2 linked regions of the Arabidopsis thaliana genome follow. The protein of the gene in region 2 interacts with the protein of the main gene of each other region in a pairwise test. Each region holds a gene or a part of one and is shown on either strand. Other genes may lie near its edges.

Region 1 (8,432 bases), on a different chromosome or scaffold from region 2:
TCGAGGGAAAAAGATGAGATTTTCCTCTTTTTTGTTTACTCTTGCCGGTTTTTTTTATTGGAACTTAAACCGGCGTGGCCCAGTGCACAAAATAAGATGTAAACCGAAATTTCTCTGTAAAGGACAATAAACCGGAAAGATTTAGCTTAACGTGGGCCGTGAAGTAAGCGGTGCGCCTGTTTACGATAAGCTAAAATGTCAAATGGATGACGTCATGTTTTCCTTATTTGATCTCTTTGTAACATTAACAAAATGGAACTTTTACCGGCCCATTAACGGCCCACAACTTCTTTTAATGGCACAAAATTTCAGTTCGAAGTTACTGAAATCTTGGGATAATGACTATGAAACTTGCAATCAATAAAAATGTCAGCTATAACTATTCGGGATTTGTGGAAGCATTTGATTGGTTTCTGTTTTACCAATCACAGTTGTAAACAGAAAAAATGTTAAATATTGAAAGAAAAAATGTGGAAGAAACAAAAATAAAACTCAATAAGCCAAAGAGACTCAAAAGCTTAAAGACACTCTTGAATGACTTGATAAGTATTCCCTACAGCTACAAGAGCCAAAAATGCTAAGGCTATTAAAATCAGCAAGGGTTGAATATTCTTGCGAAATGCAACAAGTTGGTCCTTGTGATCCTCCCTAATATGTACCTTGGCCATCACAAAATCATCTTCTTGTTTCTCATGATGAGCCTTCTTGATTCCTTCTTCATGTGCCAATTCCTCAAGCCTAAACAAAACGTCTGAATCAACCAACAAGTCTGAAGCATTATGATCATTATTAAGATCAGTTTGAGGGATCAGTTTAAGGATCGGATATTTGGAGTCTGACGATGAACGCGGGAAAGACTGAGATCGACAAACTCGTTTCCGATTGGGACGACACTTATATTCTTGAAATCATATTGCACCATTGTATTTTTTTTCTTAAGAGAGGAATACCAAAGAAGCTTTGCTTAGGCTTTGGGAGAACAAACGAATGCATTACATGTTTGTTCTTTAGGAATAGACGATAGAAAGGGAATAGGCAAAATATAACTACTTAGAGGGATTAGGCCAAATCTAAAAGAACACGGATTAGTTGGGAAAAAAATGGTGAATATTTTCATTGTCATCTACCTAGTTTCCTTTTTTTTATAAAAAAAATCCTTTTAATATTATCAAATAAAAAATAATACCTAATGAATTTAATTTTATTAGAACAAATTCCATTATTCTAAAAAAATAGAGTAAAAATTGGGAAAAAAAGAAGATATGCGTGGCAAAAAAAGAAAGAGGAAGAAGGTAAACGGGTCAAAGAATATCTACGTTGCTTCTACAATTCTCTATTATTGACAGCTTCTTCTTTCCCCTTTCTCTCTCGACTTCTAACAATCGCATAATCTCCGATCATCTTCTTCTTCTTCTCTCTTCTCCGTTATTCCTCCCGATTCTGCGATTTCTCAGCTTACATGATGACTGGAAACCCGATCCCAGTCAATCTCTCTAAGGAGGGTTCTTCGTCTCCAGGTATTTATAAAATTCCTTCTTGAGCTAGGATTTTGTTTGATTCATCGCTTTCTGTGTTTGATTTTTTACATATTTCCTGCTCTCTATAGCTTTATTTCATCATCGGTCTCTGGTGTCGAATTTGTTTCCGGCTCTTGTCAAGTAGTTTGGGACCTTAATACCTTCAAATCCGTTATCTCGTAGGGATTACAAAGAAATCGCAACGAGCTGATTTAGAAGAATTCGATTGAATAAATCAAACATGCTAGATCGAAGATGAATGAAATCCGCTGCAAATTGCAAGGGGGTTAGTGTTTTCTCTACCTTCTCTTATGTCTTCTGCTATGAATGCATCATCTGATTAGCTCCTCGTTAGCATGTTGATGATCACCTTAAGCCTGCTATGACCGCATTGAAGGATTTGTGGAACTTATTTCTACGAGAAACCAGGTGCTTCTTTTGCTAAACGCAGTGTTTTTGTTATGCAAATTCAGATTTTATTGTGCAATGTAATATGCATGTTATGGTCAAGGATACTTTGAGCATGCATCTCAACAAGGCTACATACACGTTAACCTTACAGTATGCATTGTCATGGCAGGTCTAGTTATCTCTTGGAGGTAAACTCAGCAACATTTACATGGTCAATCATAGTCACAGGTTACACTCTCTAAAACAAATACTTGTGCTTACAACCAAAATCCTACTTTCCATTCCCTAACAAATTTAATTTTCATACATTTTCCTGACACCAATTTAGAAGAAACTCACTATTCCATCTTCTGAGCAACCTCTTTGTCAGCCGAGCACATTGTTTCTTCTTAAATCCAGAGTCCTTTGGGTTTCATGACCACAGAATCCTGAGTAACATACAGCTTTTCTCTCATCCCTGTGGCATTGGATGATCATGCGAATATGGTGGATCTCCATCTGATGAGTTACAAGCAGATAAATCAATTATAGATTCAACATGAGGAAGAAGTATGCAATCGAGGTTCAAGAAGCTGGGCAACTATTCAGCTGTTTACGAAGTTACACTGAAGTGGGCAAGTGTGCGTTAAGAAGAAGACCTATATTTCAAGCTATTCAACTGTTTACAAGTTACGCTGAAATCACAAGCTGAGCAAGTGTGTATTAACTCTCTTATTATTTTTCCTAGGATTAAGTTTGTAATTATGCTTGATATTATCATCATAACACAAAAATTCAATGGTAAATAATATATTATTCTGAGGTTGCAAACTAAACGTAGCGTGCTTTTGTTATTATTACCCATTTCGCCATCCGAAGTATCAGCAAGCCTTGCAATGGCAGCAATGAGTGCCTGTTCATGTTCCTGCATCACAAACTAGTGTTATTGTTCTCTGATCACAACATTATACCACATACAAAAGGTATTAATCTCAAACCTTGAGCATTTTCTTGGCCTTGTCGAGCTCGAGTGGATCAGGATGCGTAGAATCGAAAACTCTCTCCACCTAAAACAAAAATTTCATGTTAGAGCAGGCATTGAGCTTAATGGGTATACAGCAGATAAAAAAACACGTACCTCCTTCACAAGCGAGTCTGTGTTGAACAACTCAATATCATCAGAGGAAGTTCTCCGCCCACCACTACCATTCTGTTGTGTTGGTGGCGGTACAAGTTCCCTTCTTGGTTGATGAATTCTTGGTCCTCTCCCTCTACCACCATGGATTTGGCCTCTTCTGTTGCCACGGAAGGATGCACTTCCATGTCCAATGTTTAAAGCTACCCCACTCTCCTCCCCATCCCATCTTATGTCTTCCGGTGGTATCTAAACAATAATAATGTCAGCTCTTATCAAGATCATCAGTATGTACAGACACCAGATCGCTTACGAAAACATATGCAACCACAGGCAAAGAATATTAAGATAATGTTCATGTAACGATTACCTCCTTGAGATCAACCCATTCCCACGTTTCATTAGCTGCGTGTATATCATACACCAAAGCATGCCGACCCTGTGAGAATAAAACAAGTGCGTAAATTGCAAATCCAATAGATAATCAGAGACTTCTATAAAAATTGGCAGGGACAACAAACCATCTATCTACCCAATTAGCAATCTACACTCAATGAACAAAAATAGTACCTCATCTGCATTGTACTGGGTTATAATTGCTTCATAGAAGTGGTTATCTTCAGGCCATTTTGTCCACACTTTTCTTCCGATCAGAGCTTCAGCAGATTCATTTCCTGATATGCCACTGGATACCAGACGATTATTGAATGACCTATTTCCAGTCGCACCAATTGATGGATTATACTGCATCTCACAGATAATTGGTTAAGAAATAACATAAAACAACACAATGTGGCTAACCAGAAGAAAGTATTAAAGAACCATCATTGGTGCAAATACGGCTAGAATATAAGACTTACAGATGGAAATGTTTTCTGTTTCTTTCGGGCAGCTGAGAAAGTGGGACTAGGAAGAACATCAAAAGGCTGAATAGTTGCATGTCTAGTAATTTGGCTTGCGCCTCCCTGTCTCCAATCTCTGGTACAGTTCCATGATACAACATATATTAAAATAAACGAGATTCATGATAAATTTTGTTTATGCTGGTGCAAATAAACAATCTAACCTTATCCTCTGGATAGTATCATCCTTATTGACCCTACTGAGAAGCTCTCGATGTTCATCATCAGATACTCTCAATTCTTTACGCAATTCGGTTATCAAGCTTTCTTTTTCCTAAATTGCGGAAATGGTACAACAAAATATATTCCAGAGATTAAGTCGTGAGACTGACAGAACACAATCAATGCAAAGGAGGAAGAGAGTACCCAAGAAATCGCATCAGACTGCGCTTTAAAAGCCCTTAAAACAGCGGTATATGCTTCCTGCTCAAGTTGATGAATTTGTGTCTCCATATCACTATGTAGTTTAGTTTCAGAGAATTTCCATCCAAACGAAAGCTATCCCTTTTAGAGATTTACAGTCATGTGGAAAACAGTTGCTATCAGTAATTAGAAAGCTGATGATAACAAATTTATCAGCCAACTACTGAAGAACTTTAGAATTGAACAAAATCCAAAGGAAACATAAAATAAAGGCTGCAGAAGCATAAACAAGACAAGACAATTCCCCCTAATTCACGAAACCACGGAAGCTGAACACTTTTTTCGAAACCCTAAATCCTAACCTCGGTTAACCATTCCCTAAACCCTATTTAAGACTTCCGTGCCTAAAACTAACAGTAAGGGTGTTGAATTAGGTAAGAACCAGAACGGCCTAACTCAAGCTCAATTCGCAGATTAGCTATCACAAGGTTCATCATCGAACGCCTAACTCAATAATTGCTCGAACGAGATTCAAAAGGGGCAGAAACGTTTAACATACCTCTGTTTTCGAAATCTAGAGGAAACCCCCACAAAAGGGTTTATCTTGTCGACCGATTCAGATACGAAACCCTAAAACGCTCGAATCGAAACTTGACCCGCAAAAAGCAATTAAGGGTTCGAAGTGCGTTCGGTGAAACGGAGAATTGAGGGGATTGGAACGAGAAGTTGAAAGAATTGGACAAAAAGAAATGAACTTTCCTTCCCCTCTCGAGAGAAGCGATATTTTTTTAAGCGAAGGGCACAGAGAGCTACGATCGATTTCTCCGGGACTCAGATGGGATGGCGTCGGAATCGCCGAACAGTCGTTTTAAAGACGAAACGATTCGTTTTGGTATTAAGATCTCTAAGGCCCACCAATAATAGCAACTTCGGCCCATATAGCCTAATATCTTTTGACTTTTTTTTTTTTTGGTCACACAAAGTCATATTGTTTTGTATATCGTTCCTGATTATATATGGTTTGTTGTGTATGGATGGTTTCTCTGAAACTTTGTAAAGTCTAAATCATGTTTGTGATATATTTCAATGATTAAAATTATGCTTGTGATATATTTCACCAACTAATCAATTTTGTAAAACAAAAATTATTAAATTAAAAATTTTAGTATCGATTTTTAATCCTTACTTTGTCAAATCTATTGCTAGATATAACAACTAAGAAACTAATAAACTTTTATCAGTGTACGTTGTTGATCACTAGCTAGCTACTACATAACGAAACACTTGTATATATGTGATCACTAGATGCCCCCTTGCGAGACAAGGGGTTAAGTTAGTTGAATTGAGACATATGATGATATACTAATCCTAACCTGCAATACGAGAACGAGACTTACGTAGAACCATGCACACTGAGATTATAGAGATACACTTTGAATATCTCAACATCATTCTTACCCTTTTCTTGATATTAAATTCTCTTAATAAGGAACCTCTGACTTGGCAGGCGGTAATGATTATTAACACAAACATCATATGGTTAAAACGTTAATTATTTTTTAATTCGCCAACATTAGACCAATTCAACAAGCCTTAAGCAGAGTCCCACAAAGACAGAGGTTGTGAGAGTAGGCATATGGTTCAAAGGTCTGAAGGCGACCGCCACTTGGGATTTTCCCGCAGAGACTATTGTAGCTCACGTTGAAACGCTCGAGACTTCGTAGGGTAGTCAACACCCGAGGAATCTTACCAAAGATTCGGTTTTGGCTCAGATCCAACGTAAGTATGCTCCTAGCGAACTCAATCTTGGAGATATCGAACTGAAACATGTTTCTCGACAGATCCAGTTGTCTTGTTGTTTTGTTCCGTCCGAAAAACATGGAACCATCTCCGGTTAAACTGTTTCCCGACAGAAACACAGCGTTGAAGTCGTGTTTTGACAATGACTCCGGTATTTTCCCTGAAATGGAGTGTCATAAAACCCGGGATTTATAACTTTATTAATAATAAAGAATGTTAAAAATGATGGTTACCTGAGAGCTGATTGTTAGACAAGTCGAGTTCAGGGACGTTGCCAACAAAAGAACCGAAAGAGTTTGGTATAGAACCGGTTAGCTTATTGTCGTGGATCTCAATGGCTTCAAGCTTGGGCATCTGAGATAGCGAACCGGGAATTGGACCGGGAAATTGGTTAAAGGAAAGGTCCAAGAACGTGAGGTTCTTGAGGTCGCTGATGTTATCAGGAATCGGACCGGAGAAATTGGTGTGTTTTATAAAGAGGAGGTTGAGACTCTTGAGCATGGTGATCGCGGGTGGGATATTTCCGGAGATTGTACTGGCGGAAAGGTAGAGGTAGGTGACGCGGCCGTCAGTGCATTCCACTCCGATCCAGCCAGTACAACAGCCGGTTCGGGGGTTCCAGGAGGAGAGGTAGGGAGGGTTGTTAAGGGACTTCTTGATTTGAAGGAGGGCATTATTGTCATTTGGGTTGCAACTGTAGGAAGATGGGAGAGATAAAGATGATGGAGAAGAAGATAGAGAGATGAAGAAGGAGATTCATTGTGATCATGGGTGTGGTTACTTTGAGCAGTTAAACAACTTGTGATCTATATAACAGAGACTTCAATGGAACACAGCTGTGTAATGTTACTGATTTTGTACAGTTTGGGTTCTACACTACTCCTAAAAGTTCTAACGTACAATAACCTTTTTATAACATAAATTCAATTCATCTCATAACTCATAAAGCATGGTGCATATATATATTTTTATTTAGTTGTTTTAACTATTTGATACGATATTCAATAATTTAACCATACGTTCGTCACTGCACCACTCAATTCTAACACTTCTGTCTTTGTTCTGTTCTTAGTTTATCGGTTGCTCAAATATAAAATAGCTAGAAGTGACTTAAAAAAATCGAGTAATGGAATCGCATATATTTTGTTATGTAAAGTATGGTTTTGAAAATTACTAACTCATAGGATTATGCCATGTGTCAAGTCTATCGATCAGATGTTGACACGTGTAAGAACATAATTAATTTTTTTCTTCTTAAAGAAATAGAAATACTAAAAAAAAAATCAATTAAATTTTTTCTTCTTAAAGAAATAGAAAACAAAAAAATAAATCATTATTAACATATACTAATTCATATATATATATCTAAAAAATATTACATTTTATTTTTCTTAACCAAAAGGAAAATTAACCAAAAATATTTATATATGTTATTGGTCAAATTTTTAATATGTATGGTATTAACAAAATTTTTATTATTATTAATTATGTTTTGTTAATTGTTAATAATTTTTAATATTAACTAAGATATAGATTTGATCTCATATATATTATTTTGACATGAAATCATTATCAAGTAAGATGAAGTGTATATAATTAAAATCGAGTTTTTTATGAAATAGATAGTTAAATTGTATTACAAAATTGAATATGTAAGATAAAAATTTGTTCTTTTCTTCTAAATACTAAATTATAATAAAGAAAAAGTGTGTAAGTTACTATTTAGACTTCAAATATCATCAATAAGATTGAATGGGTATTATAAAATAAAATGCATAAGACTACTATTTTACTATTCAAAATTATATATCAAGAACAATGTATAGATTATTATTTTACTATTCAAAATTTAAATATTATCGATAAAAAATTACAGTTACATTTTACACCCATCTATTTAGGCGGACTTATCTAGTGTTATAAAGATTAGACTTGTGAATATACCTCACAACATTCTTACGTAACCAATTCTTGCCATTAAATTAAATTCATAACAAAGAAACAATAAACTTGGTTTGGCGGTGATAATGAACACATCATCATAACATATTCAACATTATTTTTATTCTTCCGCCAAGATTAAACCAAATTAACAAGCCTTAAGGGGAGTTCCACAAAGACAGATGTTGTGAGCGAAGGCAGATGGTTCAAAGGTCTGAAGTAGACCGCCACTTGGGATTTTTCCGCAGAGATGGTTGTCGCTCACGTTGAAATGCTCGAGGTGTAGTTTAGTCAGTGCTGGTGGTATCTTCCCGTAGATATGGTTCTGGCTCAGATCCAACGAAACTATGCTTCTAGCGAACTTAACCTTGACGAGATCGAAAT
Region 2 (7,369 bases):
TTAGTTTACATAAGGGAAAAAAAAAAGAGCTCAGAGGTGTGGCATATCTCAACTGATAATTCAGAAAAATGCAAAGGACCCACCCAATGCTTAAGCCAATATCATCATAGCTTAGTGCACCAGCCGGGAATCGAACCCGGGTCTGTACCGTGGCAGGGTACTATTCTACCACTAGACCACTGGTGCTTATTGATTCTATCTCTTCTAGTTAATAATTATCTCTAAAATTAAACAACCTTCACACACAAAGTACGCACCACCACAGGATTGAAAGAGAACGAGAGAGCAAGCCATTGCAGGAAATGGCGATTCCAGTGACGAGAATGATGGTTCCTCACGCAATACCATCGCTTCGTCTCTCACATCCAAACCCTAGTCGCGTTGACTTCCTCTGTCGCTGTGCTCCATCAGAAATCCAACCACTTCGGTCTCTGCTCTCTCTTGTACTATTTCGAGTTTACGTTGTTCGAAACTGAGAACTCATTTGTCAAAATATGTTTGCATTTTCCTTTAGGCCTGAACTCTCTTTATCTGTCGGAATTCACGCAATCCCTCATCCAGATAAGGTAACACCAGACCAAAGTCTCTGTTTTTCTTCTTTGGATGTAATGAATTTGGATTTGCTTAGAGAATATTTATGCAATTAAAATCGACATCTAGTGTCGAAATTATATAGGTAGAGAAAGGTGGTGAAGATGCTTTCTTTGTAAGTAGTTATAGAGGTGGAGTCATGGCTGTTGCAGATGGTGTCTCCGGGTAAGCTTTAGCTTTTGGTTATGCTAACTTTTGAGTTTCTTTGTGGGTTTATCTTAATGTTGATAAAGTTTATATTTTTTTCTGTCTCAGTTGGGCTGAACAAGATGTTGATCCTTCCTTGTTCTCTAAAGAACTTATGGCTAACGCTTCTCGTTTAGTTGATGACCAAGAGGTCAGATATGATCCTGGTTTTCTCATTGACAAAGCTCATACCGCAACTACTTCTAGAGGTTCTGCCACAATGTGAGTGAGATTTGATTGTTATTCTCTTCAAAGATTGGTTTTTGTTCCCTTTTTGGATAGCTTGATGTCCCGGTTATTGATGAAAGCAGTATTCTAGCTATGCTTGAGGAAGTGGGTATTCTCAAAATAGGCAATGTTGGTGACTGTGGACTTAAGCTTCTTCGGGAAGGTACTACACTGTAACCTAAGATGCTAGATTGTTTTCATGTTCAGCCTTTGACAAAGATCTTCTTCTTTCATTCTCATTTTCAGGTCAGATTATTTTTGCCACTGCTCCACAAGAGCACTATTTTGACTGTCCTTACCAACTAAGCTCTGAGGGGTCTGCTCAAACTTATCTAGATGCATCGGTAAATAAATCCTTACCACTCTTCATGATTTGTGCTAGTATTGTACCTTTGTATCATTTTTTTTGCATTTCAAGCAGTTTAGCATAGTGGAAGTACAGAAGGGAGACGTGATCGTGATGGGTTCAGACGGACTTTTCGATAATGTGTTTGATCATGAGATCGTTTCTATAGTGACCAAGCATACAGATGTTGCAGAGTCATGTATGTATATGTATATACCATCTCTCTTGATTTTTAGTAAGTTACATGTTTTTTGGTATAACCATTACAGCAAGGTTATTAGCTGAAGTGGCGAGTAGCCATTCAAGAGATACAGAGTTTGAGTCTCCATATGCATTAGAAGCAAGAGCCAAGGTAAGATTTTTAACTTGATCTAAGAATGAATTTTACCAGTTCACGCAAAGTATATCTGAATCAACGTATATGTGCAGGGGTTTGATGTTCCTCTCTGGAAGAAGGTACTAGGAAAGAAGCTTACAGGTAAATAAACAACAATGTTGATGCATTATCCTGACATATTATACTAAACAAGAGTAGTTTCTTAGTTGAGATCTCTGGTTCTGAAAATTGCAGGAGGGAAGCTTGATGATGTCACTGTGATCGTTGCCAAAGTTGTTAGCTCATGAATCACTCTGTTCATGATAAGATCTTCTCTTTATTCTTTTTGTACAAGTCCTTGTAAGAAACTTGTTCTTCACAGAAATTGATAAATGGTATTTCAAAGTTCAAACAATAAGAATCGAATCTTTATCATTGACCTTGTGAATGGACACTCTTTAAGCTCATCTATCTCTTTATAGTATCTTTCTCATTAAAACAAATAAAAGTACAAAATTTCTCTATCAATGCAAACCAGAAAAAAGGCCTTGGGGTTGTTGTAACTCTAATCTGATAACATTATTGCGTGAAGAAAACAAATAAATTATACAAACAGAGATCTTCTCTAAGAGCTAGTGTTAATACTAACCAACCAGTAGCTAGCTCTATGAAGAATCAATGACCTGAATCAGGCAAGTAAATTATGCCAAACGCATGTATGTTTGTGTCTTTTCAAGCTGCGTTTGCTTCACCATTGAGATCTTGAAAGAAAGATTTGACTGTTTCATAAGTGGACCAGCAAATCGCAGCTGCTGGAGCATGGAAGAGCATTCTTGGTAGCCATCCTCTAGCAAGTCCTCTATAACCGTCTTTCTTCACTATTGTACGGAACACATCGCTTATTGAACTGCTCTTGAAACGGTCACAACCACACACACCCTGAAACATCACCACAAACAAACTTCTCAGAACAAACAAAACAACCCAAATCCTATGAAATAGCTATTGACCAAGTATTCTAAACCACAAATATAGAAACATTATCTATGCGACTTTCACATGTAAATTCAGTAATATTAAGTTTTATGACCATAGTTCTAACAATGCTTGATGCAATCTACATGTTACCTATAAAATCATACTCGTGAAATCACAAAATATCCAAAGAGAAGAAAGAAGATATCTTTCTTCATTCAAGTGATCTATAGGATCAAGAGACAACTACTTAAAGTAGCTTGGCCAATCTATAACCACATTAGCTATCAGATACTTAAAAGTCAGTAGCTTTAGAGATATTTCAATCACCTGACATTGCAACTGCGTCTTAACAACATCAAGCGGAGTAGTTACAGCAGCCGCTAACCCACCAGCCGCAGCTCCAGCAGTAGCATAAATCAACCAACCTTCCTCATCCTCTGCTCCAACAGCATGCTCAGGCAACATCTCCCTCAAACCTCTCTTAACCGCCTCATAAGTAGTGAAATGCACAGCGGTAAACGGAGCATTCATCAACACAGTAGTTCTATACGAAGCGTAAAAAGCACCAAACCCTTCCTCACGCGTTACTCTCTTGATACAATCCCAAACTCCTTTATAAGTTCCATTCCCAATTTGCAACCTTTGCTTAACCATATCCATTGGAGTAAACACAGCATCACTAGATATAGTAGCGAAAACACCGGAAATAGCGTGTGCAGCAGAGTTATTAGGGTTTCCACCGGATAAAAACTTCTTAGAGACTTCATAGAATGAGAAATAAACAGCGTGAGCTGGTCCAGCACCAAGTCCCATAGCCCAAATACCTCTATATAAAGCAGAAGGTCCATCGGTTTTGATAATTGAACGGAAAGCTTGACGGATTCCGATTGGTTTAATCGGACATGAACGAAGAGCTTGCATATGGGTTTTGACTGTATCTACTGGAAACATAGCCATGTGTTCGACTGAGCCAGCGATTGAACCGGCGACCATTAGTTGCCAGAATTTAAGAGTTGTGTTTTGAGCTGGAACGATGATTGCTGGATGAAAATCCGGTGGTTGTGGGATTGGACGGAGATCGGATTCTGGGAATTTGGTTGTTGCTTCTGTTGCCATTGTTTAGAATTGATTGAGAGAAAGGTTTGAGCTTTTAGGGAGATTAGGAGGAAGATGAATCTGAAGGAGGAGAGGTTTGGTTAAATTAGGGTTCCGAGAAGATTGGAGAAATGACCAAATCTGGAGATTTCTCCGACCAGAGAGAGAGGATGCGGCGGTTAAACTAAAGACAAAGCATGGGAGAAACCTCTGCCTTGTCTTGTGGGCTTTAACATCTTTTTCCCCAAGTAAAAATATATTTTTTGCCTTTTTACGTTTTTGCCTCTTTAGTGTTTTTTACCAAAACAAAAACGTACTTTTTTACTTTTTTTTTTTTTTTAAATCGTACTTTAATTTAAGCGATATGAACCTAACCAAAAAAACTTATTAGATTATGTTTATATTATGAATACGAATATTATTTTTTTGTCATCGTAAATTTTTAAAACTTTGGTAGAATTTAAATGTACACAAGTGGAAAAAAATTTATCCCTTGAAAACTAATAAGTGTTATCTATATTATTAATTGAGAAGTATTGTATGAACTACAACATTGTAAGGGTAGTTTAAAATTAAGTAAATGAATTTTTGCATGGGTAGTTTAGTAAATTAACAATCACTACAACAAAATAAATATCTTGGATTTTGTTCTTTTAAAAAATCGACTTTAAAATCAATATATTCATAATTACCCAATCCCTCGATTTTTAAATATACAAATTATTTTTAAATATATTAATCCAAGATGTACCACATGTCAATCCCTCGATTTTTTTATTATATTACAATAACAATATTTAAAATAACAAAATAATTTTTCATTTTACGGAATGAAATTATATGGTGGGATGAGTTTGAGTTGATATTAATAAAGGACGATAATCTACGAGTGAAATTTTAGAATTAATAATTATAACATAATTATATATTCTTAAACATTAAACAAAATAAACAATATTTACAAAATAACTATATCTTAAAATTTGAATTTTTAGTTACAAAAAAATCGACCAAAGGTGTACCACGGAGAAAATTTTACATTATATCATCTAATTGATCAAATTTCAAACAAAAACAATCAATTTATATATACATCAAACTAACAAAAATACACAAATTTTCTAAATATCTCTATATTATTCTACAAATCGAAACAAATCTAACAATCTATTTACTATGCAAAATACAAATAAAATATAAATAATATAAATTACAAAAAATAGCTATTTTATCATAAATAACACTTTACACTTTTTATGCATATTATAATTTATACACTATAATATCTTTCACTAAAAATATATTCCAATACATTTTTAAAAATATGAAACCCCGCACGTATACGTGCGGGTCAGAATCTAGTTATTTATAAACCGATAATTCTTAAAAACGAAGAACTCAAATCAAAAATAAAGTAAAAAAAAAATTGTCCTAAAGCATTAGATATCAAGTAAAATATTAAATTTACTGCAAAATATGTTAAAATATTGGTAGATAAAACATGAGATGTGTGAAAATCATTCCTATTAAGATCAGATTTTAGAATTTTATGCAGAATTGGAGTATTTTCTCTAACAAACTGAATAAAATCTTTACAAATCTACAGCTACAGCTTACACTTACATCCAATATTCTACAGCAAATAATCTACAGCTATAGTGTAACCAATCAGCCAGTAAGCTTTACCAAAATCAATTCATTTCATAAATTATTTTCTATATTTGTCTCCTCACAATTCATTTCCAAAGTCAAACAAAAATTAGGCACACACGAGATTAAGCTCTACCAAAGAGTCTAACAAATGAACTTATAAATAACAGTTTTACAAACAATCTTAAATCTCTACAAAGTTTGAATCTTTAACAAACTTATACAAATACTAATATAGACTTGAATCATTAACAACAATAGAACTCACACGATCTTAGTAATATCTTTAATGAAAGCATCGATGTTAGCATCAGAAGAACCACCTTTCGCAACCGCTCCACGACATATCTCACTGAGATCACAAGTCCTTCTTCTCATCTCTTTCCCTTCTTCACTCTCTCCATCCATAAACCTTTTTACCAATTCCTTGATCTCATCACTCACTATCAACAACTCCATCTGCTTCTTCCTCTCGATCCCCATTCCAACTCTCCACTCCTCAACAATCATCTTAGCATTCAGAAACTGATCCCAAAAAACAGGAAATGTAAGCAACGGTACTCCCGAACATATCCCTTCCAATGTCGAGTTATACCCGCAATGCGTCCAAAACCCGCCTATAGCCGCATGACACAAAACACGTAGCTGATCACACCAGCTCACCACAACACCCAAGCTACCTTCAAGAGCCTCCTTAAGCTTTAACTCACCCCCACGAGCCACCCAAAAGAACTTAACTCCAGCCTCTCTAACTCCTACAACAATCTCCTCCATCTGAGCTTCGGAGACTGAAAGAAAACTCCCTTGAGATATGTAAAGAACAGAGCTTTCAGGTTGCTCATCAAGCCACTTAAAGTAATCAAGTTCTCTATTCTCATTTCCAACGGATAGTTCTTCCAAGGGTATTAACGGACCAGTGGAGTAAACCGGGAAATCAAACTTGGAAGTGAAAAAGTCAATGGCTTTTGGTTCGAGCTCATAAGCAGAAGGGAAGAGAAGATACTTAGCTTTATAAAGCTCACCGAAAGACTTTTTGAATATATTGAAGACTTGATGACTATAGCCGTGTAAGATCTGTAAGTCACTGAGTCTTGTCGGAGATAAACCGGGGATGTAATCAACAATCTCGTCTAGTTTTGATTCTGGAAACAAACCCGGATTCAGAAATCACTAATTATGGATGAAAGTATTGAACTTTACGGTTTTGATCAGTAAAAATGGGAACTTTGTAACTACCTGATGGTTCGATCGGAAAATGGCCGTGACTTGCGAGAAGATCGGAGTTAATGAAGAGGGAGAGAATCGTGGCTGACGTAGTCCAGAAAGAAGCCACCGGAATATTCCTTTTTGTGCCTACACGTACTGCCCAAATGATGTAAGTATCGGCGATGATTGCGGTGGGAGGAGAGTTTAGACGGTCAAGTAGCTGTTCGAACGGCTCTTCTAATCTGGTGAGGACGGCGTCGATGAAGGCGATGAAGTCGTTGGCTCGGACGAGCTCGGAGGGAATGATGTTGGGGAGAGTGGCGAAATGGATCCGGTTAGGTTTCGGGTCGGACCCGATGAACCCGAGCCATTCTTCGGTGACGACGAATGTGACGGTGAGGTTTGGGTCTCGCCGGACGAGGCTTTTGCAGAGGTTTAACATTGGGTTGATGTGGCCTCTTCCTGGCCAAGGCATGGCCACCACGTGGCGGACTCCGAGTGGCTGAGGTTTGATTGGATTCATAGGATGTGGAACGTGTTTCTGGTTACTGTGACTTTGTGGGTGAGAGAAGTGAGGACTGAGAAAGCTGCAGAGTGCAGAGGATAGCTTTTACAACAAACGTGGTCCAATTGTTTAGGCCATTACCCATAATGTTAATGATTGTGTCTACTTCTCTTTCAAGCTGTTTTTGCTGATTATCACATTTGTTGTTTTTTATAACGTTTTTAGACACTCAAGTGACCGGTGTGCTTTTTAAAGAAACAAAACCTAA

The links. Proteins that work in one complex are often made in the same cells at the same time.
Region 1: the proteins of AT2G30160 (region 2) and EML1 interact in a protein complementation assay, tested with the Arabidopsis thaliana proteins (one large-scale study listed by BioGRID).

What each region holds. Positions count from the first base shown.
Region 1 is NC_003074.8:3,866,568-3,874,999, forward strand, and holds EML1 (Emsy N Terminus (ENT)/ plant Tudor-like domains-containing protein), read right to left. Parts: upstream 5,166-8,432; 5' UTR 4,867-5,165; intron 4,449-4,866; 5' UTR 4,398-4,448; coding exon 4,311-4,397; intron 4,219-4,310; coding exon 4,109-4,218; intron 4,021-4,108; coding exon 3,903-4,020; intron 3,787-3,902; coding exon 3,613-3,786; intron 3,482-3,612; coding exon 3,413-3,481; intron 3,292-3,412; coding exon 3,046-3,291; intron 2,975-3,045; coding exon 2,906-2,974; intron 2,833-2,905; coding exon 2,554-2,832; 3' UTR 2,427-2,553; coding exon of another isoform or gene 2,380-2,426; 3' UTR 2,255-2,379; downstream 1-2,254. Other genes in the region: FLR1 (Leucine-rich repeat (LRR) family protein), read right to left, coding at 8,197-8,432. UniProt on the Arabidopsis thaliana protein: Probably involved in the regulation of chromatin states. Contributes to RPP7-mediated and basal immunity, especially against Hyaloperonospora arabidopsidis isolate Hiks1. Regulates negatively EDM2-dependent floral transition.
Region 2 is NC_003071.7:12,874,408-12,881,776, reverse strand, and holds AT2G30160 (Mitochondrial substrate carrier family protein), read right to left. Parts: upstream 3,979-7,369; 5' UTR 3,762-3,978; coding exon 2,973-3,761; intron 2,607-2,972; coding exon 2,400-2,606; 3' UTR 2,116-2,399; downstream 1-2,115. Other genes in the region: PBCP (Protein phosphatase 2C family protein), read left to right, coding at 303-427, 515-566, 677-756, 847-999, 1,089-1,168, 1,252-1,349, 1,427-1,550, 1,621-1,703 and 2 more; AT2G30150 (UDP-Glycosyltransferase superfamily protein), read right to left, coding at 5,655-6,532, 6,627-7,119.